Mus musculus: one gene and its partners. The protein of the gene in region 1 interacts with the protein of each later gene in a pairwise test. Links are inferred from orthologs where the notes say so. Each region holds a gene or a part of one and is shown in the gene's direction. Other genes may lie near its edges.

What was found.
Region 2: the proteins of Arl6ip1 (region 1) and Myg1 interact in binary tests that used the Homo sapiens proteins (3 or more experiments, as listed by UniProt). The two-hybrid records come from large-scale screens. The link is inferred for Mus musculus from reciprocal best matches to the Homo sapiens genes ARL6IP1 and MYG1.
Region 3: the proteins of Arl6ip1 (region 1) and Tufm interact in binary tests that used the Homo sapiens proteins (3 or more experiments, as listed by UniProt). The two-hybrid records come from large-scale screens. The link is inferred for Mus musculus from reciprocal best matches to the Homo sapiens genes ARL6IP1 and TUFM.

The regions. Positions count from the first base shown.
Region 1 is NC_000073.6:118,127,407-118,131,152, reverse strand, and holds the start of Arl6ip1 (ADP-ribosylation factor-like protein 6-interacting protein 1), read left to right. Parts: upstream 1-1,527; 5' UTR 1,528-1,648; coding exon 1,649-1,684; intron 1,685-3,746. UniProt on the Homo sapiens protein: Positively regulates SLC1A1/EAAC1-mediated glutamate transport by increasing its affinity for glutamate in a PKC activity-dependent manner.
Region 2 is NC_000081.6:102,330,810-102,334,555, forward strand, and holds the start of Myg1 (MYG1 exonuclease precursor), read left to right. Parts: upstream 1-899; 5' UTR 900-931; coding exon 932-1,144; intron 1,145-1,280; coding exon 1,281-1,393; intron 1,394-1,716; exon of another isoform or gene 1,717-1,909; intron 1,910-3,392; coding exon 3,393-3,552; intron 3,553-3,746. Other genes in the region: Pfdn5 (prefoldin subunit 5), read left to right, coding at 464-540. UniProt on the Homo sapiens protein: 3'-5' RNA exonuclease which cleaves in situ on specific transcripts in both nucleus and mitochondrion. Involved in regulating spatially segregated organellar RNA processing, acts as a coordinator of nucleo-mitochondrial crosstalk.
Region 3 is NC_000073.6:126,486,465-126,490,210, forward strand, and holds the start of Tufm (elongation factor Tu, mitochondrial), read left to right. Parts: upstream 1-890; 5' UTR 891-983; coding exon 984-1,026; intron 1,027-1,123; coding exon 1,124-1,318; intron 1,319-1,795; coding exon 1,796-1,962; intron 1,963-2,185; coding exon 2,186-2,290; intron 2,291-2,372; coding exon 2,373-2,537; intron 2,538-2,655; coding exon 2,656-2,788; intron 2,789-2,871; coding exon 2,872-2,976; intron 2,977-3,087; coding exon 3,088-3,239; coding exon of another isoform or gene 3,240-3,327; coding exon 3,328-3,447; intron 3,448-3,746. UniProt on the Homo sapiens protein: GTP hydrolase that promotes the GTP-dependent binding of aminoacyl-tRNA to the A-site of ribosomes during protein biosynthesis. Also plays a role in the regulation of autophagy and innate immunity.

The DNA.
Region 1 (3,746 bases):
GGAAAGTTCTTAGATAAGAATCGACACCTTCAATCCCAGGGGAGGCAAGGATAGGTGGAATTTCTAGGCGAATCTGGTTTATAAAGCAAGTTTCAGGACAGCCAGGATTACACAGAAAATGCATGAAGCTTAATTTTAGCAATATTTAAAACAAAACTGCAGAGCCTTAATTGTGAGTGAAAGCTCTGAAAGAAGAAGAGTATTTGCAAAGATCTTCTTCATTTGCAGTGCCAAAGTTCTGAGGAAGATTTGTGTTACGAGCTTCATCTTCTGACACATTTCAAAAGGTCACTTTGTGGTAGAAAAAGAGGTGTTTGTAACCTCTGAGCCATTTGGAAGGTTAGTGAGAGCTGGATTGGGACCTGGGACTGGCCTAAACTTAAATTTTACTTTGGGAACACCGACTAAACTAAGCTTTCTGGGGCAGTAGCCAAGTTGCCAAGGAAAAACTTATTACTCTGCCCTCTCTTAGCAAAGTGACTGCTCCTGGTACCACCAAGATGGGCACCTCATTGCTTGGTAGCAGCTGTTTGGGTCCTTTTGTTCTCAATACTGAGGAGAAGGAGGGAATTCCAGGCTTTACAATTTTTGACATGATTTCTGTATCAACCGAAGTCATAATATCCCCCCCCCGCCCCGCCCACACACAATGAGCGTCCTTCCTGGTCAAAACTGTTGTCTGTACCTTCTAGTACTTTCCACAAGTTCTATGACAAATTGTATGCCCCTTTGACAGAGCCACCATAGGCCAGGAAGGGACCAGGCATATTTAGGAGCACTATGTGATCTCTCACATTTCTCTTTAACCTCCAAGGCCTTTAAAGAACCTGGGAATTAAGGAACGAAGTGTTTTTAAAAATAATTTAAAATTAGTTGAAGGTCGTATTTAGCCTGGCTTCCCCATACATCCATTAATCTATCAGTCTGAAGCCCTCCAACATCCGAATTGCTCCTCTACTCATCCATCCCTCCGAATGAAGCGCTCCCCTAGCTACCTGAAGTACTCATAGATTATCAAGTGAAGCACCCCGCAAATGATTCCCCCAAAAACTGGCTGCAAATGAAGCCCTTTAAGAGTTTGTGCATCTTCCATGTTCTCCAAAGGCCAGAGCTGGGGAGAAGGCACAGACAGCGCTCACTTGGGGCAGCCAATACTTCAGTCAGCAGGTGCCACAGCAACCTAAAGCGTCCTTGCCCTTCCAGCCTCCGCATAGGATGCCATTGCGCATCCCCTGCGCAGCTGAGCGGACAGGCGCCTGAGCGGTTTTGATTTCCAGCAGAAGAGCTAGGGACTAGAGAGGCCCCAGGATTTAGGAAGATCTGGGTGAGAGACTAGGTACGGCGGTTGAACCGCTTCCTTCCGCTCCGCCTCTCGAGGGCCACACCCCTGCACTCTGATTGGTCAGAGTCTTTCAGTTTCGCTCTCCTTTGACCTGGATTTCAAGTCATGCGCTAGCTGCCGGTTGGCCCGACTTCCCAGAAGCCGGAGTGCGGTCTACCCAATGAGGAGCGAGTTTCGCGAGGGCTGTCGGGAAAGGCAGCTAGCCTATATAAGCAGACTGCGGGGCGTTCCCCCGCGCTCGGGTTGCCTTGCTGGTGTTGGGGGGATAGTGTGTGTTCGCTCGTTGATAACCGCGAGTCTGGAACGATGGCGGAGGGGGATAACCGCAGCAGCAACCTGCTGGTGAGTTGCGGTGGTCAGTCTGTCCCCGGAGTTTCCGGATGGGCCTCCTGGCCTCGGTGGACTACCAGGGACAGCCAGGCCTTATCTCCACGGTGGAGGTCGCTGCTGGCGATCCCCAACGTCCCCCGGAATCCTGCACCATAAGGCTTGGGCCGTGCGTGAGGAAGTGTGAGAAGGGGGCTGTGGCAAGAAGGAACCTGGGTAACAGGTTGGGGCACTCGGCCGCCAGGGGCCTTGTCTAGCGCTCCGGCTCAGGCCGGAGACCTACCTGTTTTGCCCTTTGATCTTAATCTCATGTTCCGTAGATTATTTTTAATCATGATTCTTTTTCTCCTAAAACTTGGCGCAAGGGTGGAGGGTCAAAGGGCTGCTACAGAGAATTAGTTTATCGCTGACACAGAATTTGTTGGAGCTGGCTGGTTGGAGTTCACCGCAGGAAGCTGAAAACGGGTTCTGCGGAAAGGACAGTGGGGGATCCTGGCACTTGTCTGGGAACTGGCGAGGGACTCACGGGACTGGATGCAACTTTAAAAATGATTTAGCACGGATTTGACGGAGCTACACGAGATGATGGTATTAGAAGAGGGCGCGTTTGCTTCATTACAGGTCTTTGTTTTTGGTTAGGTCTTTGTTTTTGGTTTTTAAGGCTAGGTTTTCGTGTAGCTTGACGAGGCTAGCCTTGTATTTGTCATCCTCCTGTGCTGGGATTACAGTTGCGCATCACCAGGCCCTGCTAGTTTCAAATTTTTAACTGCATCACCCACCTAGGCAAGAACGAAAGATCTTTTTTTTTTTTTTTCTGTATTGTCATTCCCCAGAAAAGGCAGGCCATATCAGAAATGAAAAAAGCAATCAGCTTTTAATGCCTGCCTTTTTAACTGCTAAGTGCCGACAAGATTCTTCGGGACAGTTTTGATTAGTGCAAGATTTTCAGTTTGTATTTGTGTTTAGAGGTGCATTCCCTGTATCCTTAAATTCCCTACACACACACACACACACACACACACACACACAGTACCATACAATAGAGATGCTTACCCTGTACCCTTAAACTCCTCCTACACAATACCAGCAAACAATTCAATAAGAGGATTAATTGCTGTACAAGGAAACTATCATGGGAGAGGGCCTGATCACTACTATTTCCATCATTTTAAGGAGAGCAAGTCCATTAGTCTTGGATTTCCTGGATTTAAATATATTAACCCCTTTATGTCTCAGTCGCCTTATCTTAAAGTAGAGGTTGTGAGAATACCTTTTCCAGTTTTTTTGGAGCGTCAATTGAAGTATAACATGTAAAATGTTTAGGATTTCTAGTATGGGGAGATGTCAAAAGTACTTAGTCACATATCTCATCTTTATTAAAATTAGCCTGAACTGTTCTATATTTGCATATTCCTTTGTGAAGAGTTGATAGTGTCAGTTGGGCATTGTGTGTATGTAGTTCCTGGATGTTGAATCCAGAGTTCTGCACAAACAGGTTCTAAATACCTTCCGTTACCAAAGTCCCTGATAGGTTCAGGTCACAGTAGCCCATGGTAAAGGTGTGCTTTTGGCTAGTTGTCACATATGCAGAAAAATTTTGAGATTTAATTGAAATTCTATCATTAATGATGAGGAGCCATTAAGTGCTGAGCTCACATAGTTTGGTTGAAAGAGTTTTCTTTAATTCCACAGTGACTGCCAACATCAGAGTCATTCCATTATACAAAGCTATTTTAGAGATTTATGTACTTAGTGTTAAGGGAAAGGTTCTCCTGATGGATTTAGAAGGACTTCAATCAATAAAACGGCCAATCGACAGATCAATGCCAACCACCTGAAATGGGCAAACAGAATATTCAATCTAGTAATATTCTGAGCACTGCCTCTTGGCTCTGTGGCTGCATTTGGGGATATTAGTTTCCCATATTAAGCTCACTTTCATGAATATTGAAATAAATTGTGAAATCTTGGGAATATTATTATACATCATGGACATATGGCCCAGTGCTAAAATGACCATTAAAGCCTAGGCTTTTTCCTACCCATGGATTTTCATATTTGGTGCCAAAATTGCAGG
Region 2 (3,746 bases), on another chromosome or scaffold:
TTCCTGTTAATGATTCGGGATGAAATGGCTGTAAATAAGCTGGGCGTGGTGGCACGCACGCCTTTAATCCCGGTACTCGGGAGGCAGAGGCAGGCAGATTTCTGATTTCCAGACTGGTCTACAGAGTGAGTTCCAGGACAGCCGGGCCTATACAGAGAAACCCTGTCTGAAAAACCGTAAAAAAAAAAAGAAGAAAAGAAAATAGCCTAGATTCTATAGCCAGTCTACTTGGCGCAGCCTCCTGATTTATTTTTTGAGTGGTGTTAGGGATTGAATATGGCCTCCAGTCTGACAGTCTTTTCTGCTTATGGTTAACATTTTGTTTATTTTTACATTCCAGTGGTTAGCATACTGACAACCCTGTAGACTCTAAGTCTGTGTGTTTGTGTCCCCCACAGTTTAACGGCAGTGTTCTTAGCCCTGGGTTCTCACTAGGCTGTGACTGCTCCTTCTTTTCTTGTAGCTGTCATGGAAATGATGAGCCAGAAGATTCAGCAGCTCACAGCCCTGGGGGCAGCGCAGGCCACGGTCAAAGCCTGAGAGTGCACTGCAGAAATGAAGCAGAGTGAGGGACCCTTCTTCAAGGGGCCTGGGACTTTTTCCGGCAATGGCCTCCTGGGAAAGTGGCCTGGGAAGAGAGTGTTTTGTGTTTAATGTTAATAAATGTGACCGCTGCGCAAATGGGGTGGTCTATTCTTGCATTAAACAAGGGCCTGGTGCTGAACTGGGAGTGCCCAGGAGGTGTACTTTTGCCAAGAGCCCCCTAGCCACACGGCCTTATAGAGGTTCCAACCAGAGGTTTGGGGACCTGTAAAAAGGTTTTGCGCTAAGTAGTGCACAGTGTTGTTGCCATGGGGACGGATGGCGGGCGGAAGTGAAGCTGTGCCTGACACTTCCTCTTCCGGGTCGACCTTCCCTTGGAGGGAACTATATGGGTAGACGTTTCCTGCGTGGTATCTTAACATTGCCGCTCCGGTCAGTTCTCCAAGCCCAGCACCGCATGCTTGGCTCAGAGCAGGATCCGCCCGCTAAAAGACCTCGCAACAACCTCATGGCACCGCCCCGAATCGGGACGCACAACGGCACCTTCCACTGCGATGAAGCTCTGGCTTGCGCGTTGCTCCGCCTCCTGCCCGAGTACGCGGTACGGACCTGCGAACCTAACCCGGTCCCCTCTGATGCTGCAATGGCCTGAGAACCGCCTTCCCCGAGACGCACGCCCTGGAAACCCAACTTTAATCCTGACTCCTACCTGACAGCCCCTTCCTCTGTGCCTGCAGAACGCAGAGATTGTGCGGACTCGGGATCCTGAAAAGTTGGCTTCGTGTGACATCGTGGTGGATGTGGGCGGTGAGTACAACCCCCAGAGTCACCGTTATGATCATCACCAGAGGTGAGTTCACACTCGCTGCCTGTTCTCTTGACTTTCTTGATTTAGCTTTAGTGCTCCAATCCCACCACCCACTGCCCAAGTTCATGACAGCAAAGACCACTGCCTCCTCATCGTTGAAGTCAAGCAATTTATCGCTCTGGGAATTAAAGCTCGCTTCGAGCCTGCTCCTTGGCCTGGAACCTCCCTCAGGTCCCTCCCGCCATAACTTTTTTTCACACTGGCAGTTTTCCATTCACTTGTCCTTGCCACAAGCTGCTGGATCCTTCTAGTTCAAGGATAATCTACTGAGGTGGCCTTTTGCTTTGTTTTTATTCTACTTTAAGAGTAGGGGTGTCTTGTCTGCATTCATGTCTGTACATCAAATGCATTGGTGTCCAAGGAGGACGGAAAAAAGGTATCAGGATCCCCTGGAATTGGAGTTAAAGAAGTCATGAGACACCGCGTGGATGCAGGGAATTGAACCTGCCTCCTCTGCAAGAGCAGCCAGCTCTTTTAGCCATCTCCAGCCCCATGATGGTTAGTTATCAGTTTGATAAAATTTCGATTCTAGAATCACCTGGGAATCGGTCCGTTGAGGGGGTATCCAGATGGGGTTGGCCGTGTTTGTAGGGTGTCTTTGATTGCCCTGTAAGGCCCTGCCCACTGTGGGAGGCACTAATCCCTGGGCTGTGTGAGCGAAGGAAGATGGCCAAGCACTAGCAGCCTGCATGCACTTGTCTCTCTGCTCTTGTCTGGGTGAGATGTGACTCCCCATTCTAAGTTTCTCCCACCTTCCCCTCTGTGATGGGATGTTGTGATGTTGTGAGCTAAAATAAACATTTTTTGCCTCTGAAGTTGATTTTTGTCAGGTGTCTCATCACAGCAGCAGACATGGAAATGGGCTGTTACATGTTATATATTCCCAGTACCACTGCACTGTCCTCCCTCACCTCAGACACATAACCAGGCTCTGGTGCATGTCCCCACCTTTGCTGAAAGATAAGCGCTTCTTGTATATGTTTCTTCACTTTTCCTACGTCCAAAATCTCACAATTCCACTTTCCAATTTAGGAAAATTGGTTCCCTTCTGTTGTTTGTTTTGTTTTGTTTTGAGACATGCCTTTCTCTATCGCACTGGCTGTCTTGGAACTGCCTCTGTAGTCCAGGCTGGCCTCAGTCTCACAGAGATACGGCTGCCTTTGCCTCCTGAGTGCTGGAATTAAAGGTGTGTGCCACCACGCCTGGCATCTTTTTGTTCTTTTTAAAGTGGATACGTGAGTAAATATCATCTGTGTGGGATGTGAATAGCCTTTTCTTGTCCTCTAAAGTAACAGCTACTTGCCTAACATCTGCAACCTGTTAGGCATTATAAGTAATTTAGAGATGATCTAAAAGATACAAGAGGAGGAGCAAGGTGCATGGTGTACACCTGTAACTCCAGTACTTCCTGAGTAGAGGCTGGAGGGTCATGAGTTCAAGGTCATCATCTGTTTGTTAGCAAGTTTGAGCCTAGCCTGGATCACATAAAACCCATTCCCATCAAGGAAAAAGAATGTAGCCCCGTATGATAGTCTGCACCTTTAATCCCAGGCGGTGAGAGCCAAAGCAGGGAATGATTTCCAGGACAACACAGAGAAACTCTGTCTCCAAAAACAGGAGGATGTGTGTCCTTTACAGGCAAACACTGTCCCATTTTACATAAAGAACTTGACATCTGGAGGTCAGGCCCTTAGGAACCACAGACAGTGACAGTTAGGGACAGTTGCTCTGTTGTTTGTCCCCCTCCCACAGATGAACTTTAAAGGACAGGATCTTTGATTTTTCTCCATAATGTTCAAAACACAAAACTCAACATACAATGATGAGTCAAACCGCTGTATGGGAATGTCGGAGTAGAAGCTCTCAGCCAAGGCCTGTGTTGGCACCAGAGGACACGCTAACATCTTCTCAAGTGGTTTCTCGTCTCCCCATCCCACTGATAACCAACTCCTTCACCTCAGCCCCTCCCTATGCTCCTCAGGACTTTTACAGAAACCATGAGTTCACTGTGCCCTGGAAAGCCATGGCAGACCAAGCTGAGCAGTGCGGGACTTGTCTATTTGCACTTCGGACGTAAGCTCCTGGCCCAGTTGCTGGGCACTAGTGAAGAGGACAGCGTGGTGGATACCATCTATGACAAGGTAGGGGCCCGAGGACAGAGAGGTCCCATCTGTGCCTTCCCGCTGGGCTGGCTAGCAATGGCACAGCTACAGTCCTGAACTAGGTCAGTCACTGGCCTATAGGGGACAGTCCTAGTCACTGTCCTATTGCTGAGAAGAGAAACTATGACCATAGCAGCTCTTACAAAAGAAAGCATTTAACTGGGGCTGGCTCA
Region 3 (3,746 bases), about 8.4 Mb from region 1:
GTCATTACTATACTTACACTTATTCATTAGGGGGCTGGAGAGATGGCTCTGTGGTTTAGAGCACTGACTGCTCTCCCAAAGGTCCTGAGTTCAAATCCCAGCAACCACATGGTGGCTCACAACCATCCGTAATGAGATCTGATGTCCTCTTCTGGTGTGTCTGAAGACAGCTACAGTGTACTTACATAGAATAAATAAATCTTAAAAAAAAACAAAAACAAAAACCACTTATTCATTAGGGAACAAACATTTGCTGGGTATACAAAAGATTCAACTAACAGTAAAAAAAAAACTTCCTTTAATCCCAGCACTGAGACAGGAGATTTCTCTAGAGCTGGAAGACCAGCCTGGTCTACATAGGCCAGCCAAGGAGACCCTGTCTCGGAAGGTAGTGGGGAAGAAGGAAGAAAAAGGAAAGAAAACTGCTTGTCAAGCGTCCAAAGGACTATTGGGGGAGGAGGGTTTGACTTCAAAATGTTAGAAAGCACAGGATCCCTGCAAGAGATATGGGGGCAGTTATTTAATGGCCAAGGACTGGAACTCCCGGGACTCCATCCCTGACTCTCGTTAATTTTGCCTCTTACAGGCTGGGAGATCTTCTCTCTGGACCGAACCCAGGCGAAGCTAAAGCCTGTCACAAACTGACCCAAGCCCGCTGCCCTGGAAACCACAACACCCATAAGCCTTCGGGGGCGCTCGTGCATTATGGGGCGCTCCGCATTTTCCTCCTAAAGCGGCCCCCTCAGGCTGAACTGTGGAAATTCCCCATCGTCCCCCGCGAGACACCAGAAACCCCCTCTTCCGCTCCATGCCCGGATATCAGTGGCCGTGGCCATAGAAACTGTCTGCTAGAGGCTCCTAAACTCGCTGTCCGGACCCTCATTTCCGCCGGAAGTGATCTGCAGTCCCAAGTGCCCGTCCTTCCCTGCACGCGCGGGCCCCGGGTGCCTAGTTCCCGGTCCCGGTCACCGAGTACTACCACAATGGCGGCAGCCACTCTATTGCGAGCGACGCCCCGCTTCAGCGGTGAGGGGGCGGGTTGGACGCAGGCAGCCCGGAGTTGCGAGGGGCGCGGAGGGTAGCTGGGTTCGGATCCCTGACTCCCAAGTGCCTTTCCCCGCAGGTCTCTGCGCCAGCCCGACCCCATTTCTGCAAGGTCGGCTGCGGCCGCTGAAGGCTCCCGCATCACCCTTCTTGTGTCGCGGCCTAGCTGTGGAGGCCAAGAAGACTTATGTACGCGACAAGCCCCATGTGAATGTGGGTACCATCGGACATGTGGACCATGGCAAGACCACCCTGACTGCAGCCATCACGAAAAGTGAGTAGGGTTGGGTTGGGTTGGAGGCGTCGGGCAATGTCCTGTCAGCTGGAAGAGTCAGAACTAGAGCGTAGGGTGGGTGTCTTGTAGTCCGCTGAACTTTAGCATGGCTCCAAGAGACACTTGGGACGAAGGCTGGTGGGAAGATGCAGGAGACAGGTTTCCCTGTACAGGAAGAGCTCTGTGAGGCATAAAATGAAAACTGTGAATGGTTTCCATCCAGTGTAGAGTGGTCTGTAAAGAGATGCTGTCAGCGAAGAATTGGAAGCGTCTGTGATGAGCACACACCTTAGGAAATTCTCTCACTGTCTTACAAAGTTATCTTTCCTAGAATTACATTTGAGATTTCCTAGAATTGAGATTTAACAGAGATTTATCCTTCCAGATTGTTTCTGTATGAGGGGTTCAGGCGTGTGCCCCGAGCCTTGTCTGTAGCTCTGACCCTGAGTTGAGAGGTGTGTTCTCTTCCTCCGGTAGTTCTAGCCGAGGGAGGTGGAGCTAAGTTCAAGAAGTACGAGGAGATAGACAATGCCCCAGAGGAGCGAGCTCGGGGCATCACCATCAATGCAGCCCATGTGGAGTATAGCACTGCTGCCCGACACTATGCCCACACAGACTGTCCTGGTCATGCAGATTATGTTAAGGTGAGGGTTGCTGGGGACAGCCAGCACCTGCTTCCGTTCAGTGGAGGTGTGAGGGGGGGAGGTTATAAAATAGTGGCGGTGTTTGAATATAAGAACAAGGATTTGTGGCTGTGGGTGGTGAAGACATGGCAGAGAGATGGAGATCTTCACAGCTACTTCTCATTAGAGGATGCATGTTGAAGAGGTCCCTGAACTAAGCTGACCTTCTTCCTCTTCCACCCAGAATATGATCACAGGCACTGCCCCCCTGGATGGCTGTATCCTGGTGGTGGCAGCTAATGATGGCCCCATGCCCCAGACCCGAGAGCACTTACTGCTAGCTAAACAGGTACTGGGGTCTGAGTGGGATGGACATCCGTGAGACGTCAGATGGCTCAGGAGAGTTGCTCAGTCTCTTGTCTTGCCTGCAGATTGGGGTAGAACATGTTGTGGTGTACGTGAACAAGGCAGACGCTGTCCAGGACTCAGAGATGGTGGAGTTAGTCGAGCTGGAGATCCGGGAGCTGCTCACCGAGTTTGGCTATAAAGGAGAGGAAACTCCAGTCATCGTAGGCTCGGCTCTCTGTGCCCTTGAGGTGAGCACAGCACAGGCTCCTGTTGGTAGAGGACGGGGTAGAGCTTTGCTCTGTACCTGGAAACTTAGCATCCTGTGATAGGAACAGAAGTTTCAAGGTCTTGTCATGTCTCCAACAGCAACGTGACCCTGAGCTAGGCGTGAAGTCAGTGCAGAAGCTCCTGGATGCTGTGGACACCTACATCCCAGTGCCCACCCGGGACCTGGACAAGCCCTTCCTGCTCCCTGTAGAGTCAGTCTACTCTATTCCTGGTGAGGCCCGTGCTCACGTACACCACTCCTCATAGGGGTCATCTGACCCTGGGTGACCAATAACCCATCCTGTTTCTTTCCAGGCCGGGGCACAGTGGTGACAGGTACATTAGAGCGTGGCATTTTGAAGAAAGGAGATGAGTGTGAGTTGCTGGGACATAACAAGAACATCCGCACTGTGGTGACAGGTATGAGAAGATTTCAGATCCAAGGACGTGGTCAGAATGGTCCCTTCCCATGTAGCTCTTATACCTTCATTCTGCCTCAGACCCTCTTCTCTCCTGTCTTCTTCCTTGTAGGCATTGAGATGTTCCACAAGAGCCTGGAGAGGGCTGAGGCAGGGGATAACCTGGGTGCTCTGGTCCGAGGCTTAAAGCGCGAAGATTTGAGGCGTGGCTTGGTCATGGTCAAGCCAGGCTCCATCCAACCCCACCAGAAGGTGGAGGCCCAGGTGAGGGCTCCAGTGCTGAGTGGTTTCCCTTGCTTAGAAGCAGGACTTGTAGCTAAGCCATTCCATCCTTACTGCTTCTCTCCTCTAGGTTTATATCCTCAGCAAGGAGGAAGGTGGCCGCCACAAACCCTTTGTATCTCATTTCATGCCCGTCATGTTCTCCCTGACCTGGGACATGGCCTGTCGAGTCATCTTGCCTCCAGGGAAGGTATGTTGAGGCTGGGGGGGATATAAAAGGAATAGAACTGGGCTGTGGTAGCCCATGACTTTAATCTTAGCAGCTGGAAGGCAGAGGCATGTGAATCTCTTGAGTTCAAGGCTGGTGTAGTTAGTATACAGAGCTAGTTCCAGGGCAGTTAGGGGTACACAGCGAAATCCTGTCTCAAACACAAGAAGGGCTCAGGAAAATCCTGTTGACTAAAACTGCGTAATACCAAATTCCCGATTATGGTCCCTTTACTTTTTCCATGCTGTTTGCGTGTGCCTAGCAACTAAATGAAACGTCCC